Linked DNA regions of Arabidopsis thaliana. The protein of the gene in region 2 binds, or shares a complex with, the protein of the main gene of each other region. Each region holds a gene or a part of one and is shown on either strand. Other genes may lie near its edges. A codon is read from its position in the direction of its gene.

Region 1 (4,902 bases), on a different chromosome or scaffold from region 2:
TCCAAATGTTAAAACAATAAATAGTTATATACTAGATAACAAATTTATTTAATTTAGATAAATGTGATTTTTTACATCAGATGGTTTTAATAAACTTTCTCTAATGTATGATTAATCAGTCTGAAATTAGAAAACAATGAATAAAATAATAAGAGATAGAGCGGTGTCTTATGATAAACACGAGAGGTTGCTTAGTGAGGACCTTTGGCTTGTAATTAGTGTGTAATGGCCGTTGTTAGTTTGCAAGGGTCGGAGAAGTCACTTCCCATATCCCAAAAGGAAAACAACTTACAAGAGATAAGTCACTTCCCATATAGTTCATGGCCGTTGTTGGTGACCAAAACAAACAAGATTTTAACATTTTCATCTCCCACAATGGTTTTTACCCAAATCAAACTTTGGCTTTTGTGTGTCAAACATTTTTTCTTAACTAAAAAAGATTAAACAGAATAAAATATTATGTTTTTGTGTTCTTAGCCAATCTAGAAAAAATCTAGCTATGCCACTTTTGGATGATTGAATATTCATTCACGGGATGTCTTACGAATACAGTTTGAACTTATTCGGTTATCTTCCTGTAAACTATCAATCAAAGCTGATATATTACCTTTTGTTGTTTGTTTCTACGTTGGTTTTTCTCATACCTTTAGTTTTTCTTTTATGAACGTTGAGATACTATCGAAACTCAAATGTAAATACAACTTTTTAATTGGAATGACGATGTTTAGAATTATGAGATACGAAAGGAATCTCACTCATACATAGGACAAATAGGCATGTTAAATAATAAACACAGACTATGAACATAGTCGTCTTTTACTAGCGATGGATAAACGAAGATTGAGTATACTTCAAACAAAAATCACAAGTTTGTATTATTCAGCAAAAACAAGTCAATCTTGCTCTAACATGCCGGAAAATATTAATTAAAAGAAAAAAAGAACAAGTGAAGATCATCATTCAGATCCAGACTCTTGACTGTTGTGCTTTTATTAATCAACCGATGAGTAACTTATTCTCTTCCAGGAAGCTGTAGGTTGGTACTTCCAGGTTGTATGGTGCAGGACCTTTCCTAATTCTTCCAGATATATCGTAATGTGATCCGTGACACGGACAAAACCAACCACCATAATCACCAGCATTAGGCAAGGGGATGCACCCCAAATGAGTGCACACTCCAACAACCACTAACCATTCTGGATTCTTGACCCTAACCGAGTCTTCTTGTGGGTCCCTCAGGGATCCAACATCCACACTATTGGCCAGCTTGATGTCATCTTCTGTTCTTCGCCTGATGAAGACGGGCTTTCCACGCCACTTGACTGTCACGGTAGTTCCTGGTTCTATGCTCCCTAGGTCAACCTCAAGGGATGCAAGGGCAAGGACATCTTTACTTGCAGACATGCTCACAATAAGCTTCAAAACAAGCAGGCGGAGGACAGAGGCATAAACAAACCTCCCACCCGACAAGACAAAATAGGCGAATGCACGCTTGCTAGGGTCACCAGGTGGGTAACGCTCATGGTTATGGTCATCATAGACAATCTTTGAGTTAGGCGTTTTGACAGCTTCGACTGTGGCTGGGACTTCTGAACCAAAACCTATCTCATTTCCTTGAGCAAGGACTTGAGAAGAGAAGCCTGAAAATAGCATGAAACATTAATATTTCACATCAAAGGCAAACTTTATACTTGGTCAAGTGTTCTACAAGAATAAGAATAAGCCACAGGACTACCACAATCAAGATGTGACCATTGATGTATAATCTTCTAAGGAAAAACAAAAGTACATAAAACGGATTCCATGAAGTATGAGATCCATCCAAACAATTCAAACCATCGTATCAAACTCGGGGAGTGGAAACTTAAATACGATAATCTCCATAAAAAAAACAAGAGAACAAATTCAATGATCAACATGGAAACAGAAGAACAAAAAATTGGAATCTAGAAGCCAATGTGAATCACACTATGGATAACGCATTCCAATGATTTACAAGCAAGGAGCTTTAGTCATCAACCAAAGAATTACATCTAAACAGGTCAATCCATAATCCATCAATAAACTCAAATGTTCATTTCCTTCTGGACGAAAGAATGAATCAGAGAAGCCAAGTATACCAAATTCATCCAAACAAATCAATAATAACAAATTCAGTGAAACCTTAAATACTAAAACCAACGTAATAAACCAAGAGAAAAAAATATATTGATCAGATGCTGTATATTACAGAAACGCTTAAAACACAACAAAATTTCCAATGCTAAGAACAAACAAAGCTCTTTGGTTAAGAAAACATAAATTTCAGAATGCAAGTTCCTCAGCATGCCTTTAAACAGCTATAAATCCTACAAACATAGTATACAGTTAAAACATCCATGTCCCTAACAATGAAGAACTCAAAAGGATTGATACACAAGATCAAATTTCAAAAACCAAGAAGCCAGTGGTGAATCATACTATGATTAACGCACCGAAAAGAGGAAACTTTCCTAGTAAAACAAAGGATTATCTCAGAACTGAACAATCCACACGAAAGAAGTAATCATCAAATGCAATACAAATCCAGCAAGGAGAAGAATGTAGCCAAATGGTACATCAAGCTCATGGAATTCAAATCAGATGACACGTTTGTTCCCACGGATCATTGCAGATACAATACTAGAAATCTCAATCATTCCCGTGAATCATACAACCAAAAAAAGAAGACCTTTTCAAAAATCAATCAATCAAATAAAACTGCAAAGAACCACCGAAAATGAAAAATCAATGTAGAGAGAGAGGGAAAGGGTTATAAATCGGCAAACCTCTGATAAGGCTACGGTGGTAAGATGAGAGATCTGCAGAGGGGAGGGATCTGGGAGCTGAAGAGGAGTCGCCGCCACCATCGGAAAGGGTATGGTCACGGGAGACGACGAAGGAGGTCGCAGTCGAAGATCTCTGCGAGACAGAGAAAAGCCTCCTCCCTGCTACACGCAGCATCTCTCAGCTCAAATGTGAATCTAGGGTTTCGCTCTAGCTGAACAGAGAAATCCTCAGGTTTGGGACGGCCGATGCAAAACAAAACATAAGAGACTACTTACTAGTAAGTCCCTTAAAAATTGTCTTTGAGAAAAGGTCAATTTGTTTTGTTTTTTTTGGTTTTTGCGTATTACTTGATATTTTTTTACTTCAGGATTTTGATGGCATGGTTTTTTTTCTAATTTTAATTAATAAAATCTTTTGGTTTTACGATATAATTTTTTTGTGTGTGTGTATTTGTAAGATAAATTATTTTATTTGTATAAAAATCGTAATTTTTAATAATAATAATAGGGGGTCTATACTTGGTAAAGGATATATTTTGTTGTTGTAATGTTTAAACAAGATTTCCAACAAAAAGACTGTTTTACATCTGTGTGAACTTTTCAATACTAGAAGAAAGAGCTAGAAGGACATCATCAAAGAAGTAGTCATCGATGAAAACAATCTGAACAAGAAAATTAGGCTAAGATCCACAACCAGAATATGACATCTTTCATCAAAGTAGTAGTCTCGAGGTTCACAATTGGATTTCTCACTATGGAAGAGAAGGTTTATGGCTTAGTTGAGAATTGAAGGTCTTCGAAATGTCGTCTCCAGTAAGAACACGAAAGTTTTATAACACACCTTGAACCTTACCAAGTTTTTGTCTCAATTGTGATAATGGCTACAGACTTTAAGGAAAGGAAACTCTCTTACAAACGATATGTTACAAAATTACAAACATAAGAAAAATAGGGATGATACTATTCAAAACTCTTTTCAAATAATAAACAGAGACTATGAAGTATGAACAATGTATTTTCACCAGATGAGACAGATACTAAGTCATACAATGACAAGTTTGTATTATTCAGCAAAACAAGCCAATTTTTGCTGAGCCCAAAGTGTGAGGAAAGCGAACTTGCACGCTAAAATGCCGGAAAATATAAAAACAAAAACAGATTTAAGATCATCCAGACCATGACACTCGGACTGTTGTGCTTTATTCATTAACCAATGAGTAATTTATTCTCTTCCAAGAAGCTGTAGGTCGGTACTTCCAGGTTGTATGGTGCAGGACCTTTCCTAATTCTTCCAGATATATCGTAATGTGATCCGTGACACGGACAAAACCAACCACCATAATCACCAGCATTAGGCAAGGGGATGCACCCCAAATGAGTGCATACTCCAACCACGATCAACCATTCTGGATTCTTGACTCTAACCGAGTCTTCTTGTGGGTCCCTCAGGGATCCAACATCCACACTATTGGCCAGCTTGATGTCATCTTCTGTTCTTCGCCTGATGAAGACGGGCTTTCCACGCCACTTGACTGTCACGGTAGTTCCTGGTTCTATGCTCCCTAGGTCAACCTCGAGGGATGCAAGGGCAAGGACATCTTTACTTGCAGACATGCTCACAATAAGCTTCAGAACAAGCAGGCGGAGAACAGAGGCATAAACAAACCTTCCACCCGACAAGACAAAATAGGCGAATGCCCGCTTGCTAGGGTCACCAGGTGGGTAACGCTCATGGTTATGGTCGTCATAGACAATCTTTGAGTTAGGTGTTTTGACAGCTTCGACTGTGGCTGGGACTTCCGAACCAAAACCTATCTCATTTCCCTGAGTAATGACTTGAGAAGCAAAACCTGAAAATAGCATGAAACATTAATATTTCACATCAAGGGCAAACTTTATACTTGGTCAAGTGTTCAACAACACCAAGTATTAAGCAAAAATATTTTCAAGAGATAACACAGAAGAAAGGAATAACACTAGCAAACATTTAACATTAATGCATAGAATAACATAAGATTATAAAAACGGATTCCAAGAGATAACAGAAGGTGTCATCCAAACAATTTTCTACCATGATATCAAATTCAGTGAAAAC
Region 2 (3,695 bases):
AGGCAAGAAGCTCTCCATTTATCATCATCCCCTCCACTGATCCTTCTTGTTCCGAACTTCCCTCATTGTATCAATTGGCGACTTGCAACCGAGTTTCTCCTGGAAAATAACAAAGTTAATCTCGATATACGACAAGAAAGTAAAGATCGATATCAACAGTGATAGCTGATAAAACCGAATCATGAATTGTTCAAGAAGATGAACCAAATGGAGTAATAACCTGTATCTCTGGCTTATCAACACGCATAAATGGATTTGTTTCGAGCTCTTCCTCCAGTGTTGAAGGGATTGTGGGAAGATCTGCTTGGCGCTGTTGACGGGCCCATGCTAACTTCTGTTGTATCTTCCCGTTGTTTGGTTCCACAGTTAGAGCAAATTCCAAGTTCTTAACGGTGTACTGAGAACCATAAGAAATGAATAGCGGATTATTCAGTTTATAGGCATCCATTTTTATGAGTTAAGAACTCAAAAGACATAATGAAGCTGTTGATTTTTTTACCTCATGGCCGCAGTAAACCTGTGTCGGTTTAGGTAATGCAGCCAGAGTCACACACAACGACTGATACATCTGCTCAGCTGTCCCTTCAAAAAACTTCCCACATCCAGCAACAAACTGTATAAAATCAAAGTAAACACAGCTTAATGTTTAACTCATAACTATCTCCATTTAGACATTTACAGAGATAAAAGATCTACGGAGAACATATAGGGTCCATGGTAGGGAAGAACAAGAGGATTCAGCTTAATGTTACCACTTACAAGTGTATCTCCGGTGAACACGGCTGGGTTTTCTCCTTCTTTTCCGTTCACATAATAACTAATGTGACCCTTGGTGTGACTGTAACAAGTAGATATATCAGAGGAATCAGCGATGACAAGAGAAAATGACTGAGTTAAACATCAAGTAGATTAGATGCATCTAAATTCATTGGAAAAAAAAAAAAAAAAAAAAACAAACCAAGGAGTGTGGAGAGCCAATATGTTAATATCCTGACCCAAAGTCAGCTTGTCACCATTATCAACCGCATCAGTGCAACCCTTCACCTTATCCAGAGAACCTCCATATACTTTGATATCAGGAACCAACTGCTTAATCTTCTCGTTTCCACCGGCATGATCCCTTTGATCATATCAAGCCACCAATCAAACAATGAGTGTTAAAATAAAAACGTCGCCTCAAATCCAAATTTCATCGAAGACAAAGGCAACCATCATATGGTACATATATAATAAATCTTGCATCTTCAAGAGGTGAAACATTAATGCAGAAAGTATCAGACTTTAACAAAGAATCAGACTCACGAAGATGAATCTCTAAGTCAGTTGAAACTGATAGTAGGAAAAAGCTAAACACTTGATCAGAAAACTGAGAGATTTAACAATAGACTTGTACTAATGTTAATGTCTAGGACCGGAATCTAGCATATGTCGATATCACTGAGTAATAAGAACCAACAGAGAATCTCGGAGATGAATCAAATAAGATAAGTTACCAGTGACATAGAGAGAAGTGAGGTTTACTTACCAGTGATGATGCGTAGTGAGTACGAACTTGATCTTAGCTTGGTGCTTCTCAGCCGATGCGATCACCTTCTCCGGATCAACTGGATCCACAACCGCCGCGTCTCCGGTGCTCTCATCGATTATCCTGTTTTTTTTTTACGAAGAAAGAATCCTAAACTGATGATGAACCGAGTCAGATTAAGAAGCAACGAAATTGAAGTAGGATATCAAAATGGCTCACAGATAAGAGTAGTTGTCTTGCAGACAAGGAACGTGGAAGATCTTCATCGTCTCCTTAGATCGATCGTCCTTCTCCTCCGGAACACTAGCTGTATCATCATCATCATTTATGTCTGGACTAGTGATTTATCTATTTCGGTTTACTCAAACCGGATCGAACCGAAACAAATCAGGATAAATTTTGCAGCCGGTCATCCGGTTCAATTGTAATTGTAACTGAACCGGAATCGGATAAAAAACATAAGCTTCGTTGAGAATTGTTTATTTTAGGTTTTGGGGGAGATTCGTTCTCGTACTGTGGATTGTTGTTGTTGGGATTATCTGGGAAGAGAAAAAGAAAATGGGGAAGCAGCCGGTGAAATTGAAGGCGGTGGTTTACGCACTTTCTCCGTTTCAGCAGAAGATCATGACCGGTCTCTGGAAGGATCTGCCGGAGAAGATCCACCACAAGGTCTCTGAGAATTGGATCAGCGCCACTCTTCTCGTTACCCCTGTCGTTGGAACCTACTGGTACTCTATCTCTCTTTCTATCTCTCTCATCAATCGATTGGTAAAGGAACCTTTGGATCGAGTTCCGATCTGGTTGATTGTTCTTCGATCTGTGTCATCGGTCTTGTGCGGCGCATATGGATATAGGGTTCTTCGTTTGTGTCATAGGAACAAATGAGAAATGATAGGATTTAAGTTAGTTTGAGATGAGTATTAAGTGGAGTGTAGTATATAGAGACTCTCAGCTAGAAAAAGTCTTCCAGGTATCAAATTAGTATTGTTGATGAACCACTCTGTGGAATTGCATTTCAAGATGTTGAGGATTTAAATGGCTTAGTCGTAATCATTAGCTGATTAGTGTGGTTCTATTAAAACTGTTGAGTTCTTGCTTGTGAAGCTATTAGTTACCTGATCGATCTAAACATTACGGGTGCTGCATATTATGGTCTAGTTTCTAGTCATCTTTTGTGCTTATTCTTTCAAATACACACAATGAATGCAGGTATGCTCAGTATTTCAAGGAACAGGAGAAGCTTGAGCACAGATTCTGAAGCATGAAGTCACTCCTTTTCTACAAGAACCTGACAGTTTGAAGTAATTTCTTTTGTTTCAAGCCTATAAATTTCACAAAAACTCTTGTGGGAATCTTCTGAGTCAGTTTTTCTGAAACTCTTTTGCTAAATAAATGTTTGGGTTTCATGACAATGACTCTTGTTGTTCATCTTTCTTGATATATGGTATGAAAATTGGATTGAATCGAGTAATATATTGATCCCTCAAAACAACTATTAGGCAAAATCAAACGCTGCCTATGTTCCCTTAAGACATCAACTACAAACAACTATTAGGCAAAATCAAACACTGCAAGTCTGCAACCACTCCTACAAGGTTTGTGATGAACAGAGTCGTTGGTTGGACTAGAAATGTTGTCCATTTCATCAAGTACAGTTCAGCGGAGTCATTCTCTTCGTCTAAGGCTTTTGAGGTAACTGTGAAGTTGGTGTCGATACCGGCTAGGACTTTAAGTAGACCTTGGAAGACTGCAAATTAGTGATTTATATAAAACTACACGATTTGCCGAAATTTATTTCACTTTTGTGACGCAAGATAAAATTAAGCAAAACATAATTTATTTCAAAACGATTAATATAAAATACCAAAATGTCACAAAAATCAAAAATAAATAAACACTCCCTCGACAATACTGATCACTTAACCGGTTTTAAAACCAACAAAAGGCAATCCTTTAGTTCTTTAAATAGTTTTAGATAGAACCGACGGAAACGGCAGCTTTGATGAGTAAACCAAAGAGAACAAAAGGGTTAGAGAAGAAAGGAGAATGGTCGCTCTCCAATTCGTAAACTTGGCTAGGTGGCCACCGTCTTATCATCGCGTCTTGCTGCTCCGGTTTCATGACCCGGTCGAGTAACGTCTTGATGTACACGCGCGGCACTTGCTCCTCT

The links.
Region 1: the proteins of AT3G10860 (region 2) and AT5G13430 are in contact, whole or in part, in a cryo-EM structure (PDB 8BEL), measured with the Arabidopsis thaliana proteins. Residues at the interface, in NP_001327236.1 of Arabidopsis thaliana: Tyr13 (codon at 2,120), Ala14 (codon at 2,123), Leu15 (codon at 2,126), Phe18 (codon at 2,135), Gln19 (codon at 2,138), Gln20 (codon at 2,141), Lys21 (codon at 2,144), Ile22 (codon at 2,147), Gly25 (codon at 2,156), Lys28 (codon at 2,165), Asp29 (codon at 2,168), Lys33 (codon at 2,180); in NP_568288.1 of Arabidopsis thaliana: Tyr93 (codon at 1,539), Asp95 (codon at 1,533), His96 (codon at 1,530), Asn97 (codon at 1,527), His98 (codon at 1,524), Glu99 (codon at 1,521), Arg100 (codon at 1,518), Tyr101 (codon at 1,515), Asp105 (codon at 1,503), Pro106 (codon at 1,500), Ser107 (codon at 1,497), Lys108 (codon at 1,494), Arg109 (codon at 1,491), Ala112 (codon at 1,482).

The regions. Positions count from the first base shown.
Region 1 is NC_003076.8:4,304,418-4,309,319, forward strand, and holds AT5G13430 (Ubiquinol-cytochrome C reductase iron-sulfur subunit), read right to left. Parts: upstream 3,154-4,902; 5' UTR 2,983-3,153; coding exon 2,808-2,982; intron 1,641-2,807; coding exon 997-1,640; 3' UTR 689-996; downstream 1-688. Other genes in the region: AT5G13440 (Ubiquinol-cytochrome C reductase iron-sulfur subunit), read right to left, coding at 4,014-4,657. UniProt on the Arabidopsis thaliana protein: Component of the ubiquinol-cytochrome c oxidoreductase, a multisubunit transmembrane complex that is part of the mitochondrial electron transport chain which drives oxidative phosphorylation.
Region 2 is NC_003074.8:3,397,732-3,401,426, forward strand, and holds AT3G10860 (Cytochrome b-c1 complex, subunit 8 protein), read left to right. Parts: upstream 1-1,843; 5' UTR 1,844-2,083; coding exon 2,084-2,253; intron 2,254-2,734; coding exon 2,735-2,783; 3' UTR 2,784-3,024; intron 3,025-3,080; 3' UTR 3,081-3,195; downstream 3,196-3,695. Other genes in the region: GLY2 (Metallo-hydrolase/oxidoreductase superfamily protein), read right to left, coding at 25-99, 221-397, 500-613, 760-838, 959-1,120, 1,526-1,648, 1,745-1,791; MES17 (methyl esterase 17), read right to left, coding at 3,497-3,695. UniProt on the Arabidopsis thaliana protein: Component of the ubiquinol-cytochrome c oxidoreductase, a multisubunit transmembrane complex that is part of the mitochondrial electron transport chain which drives oxidative phosphorylation.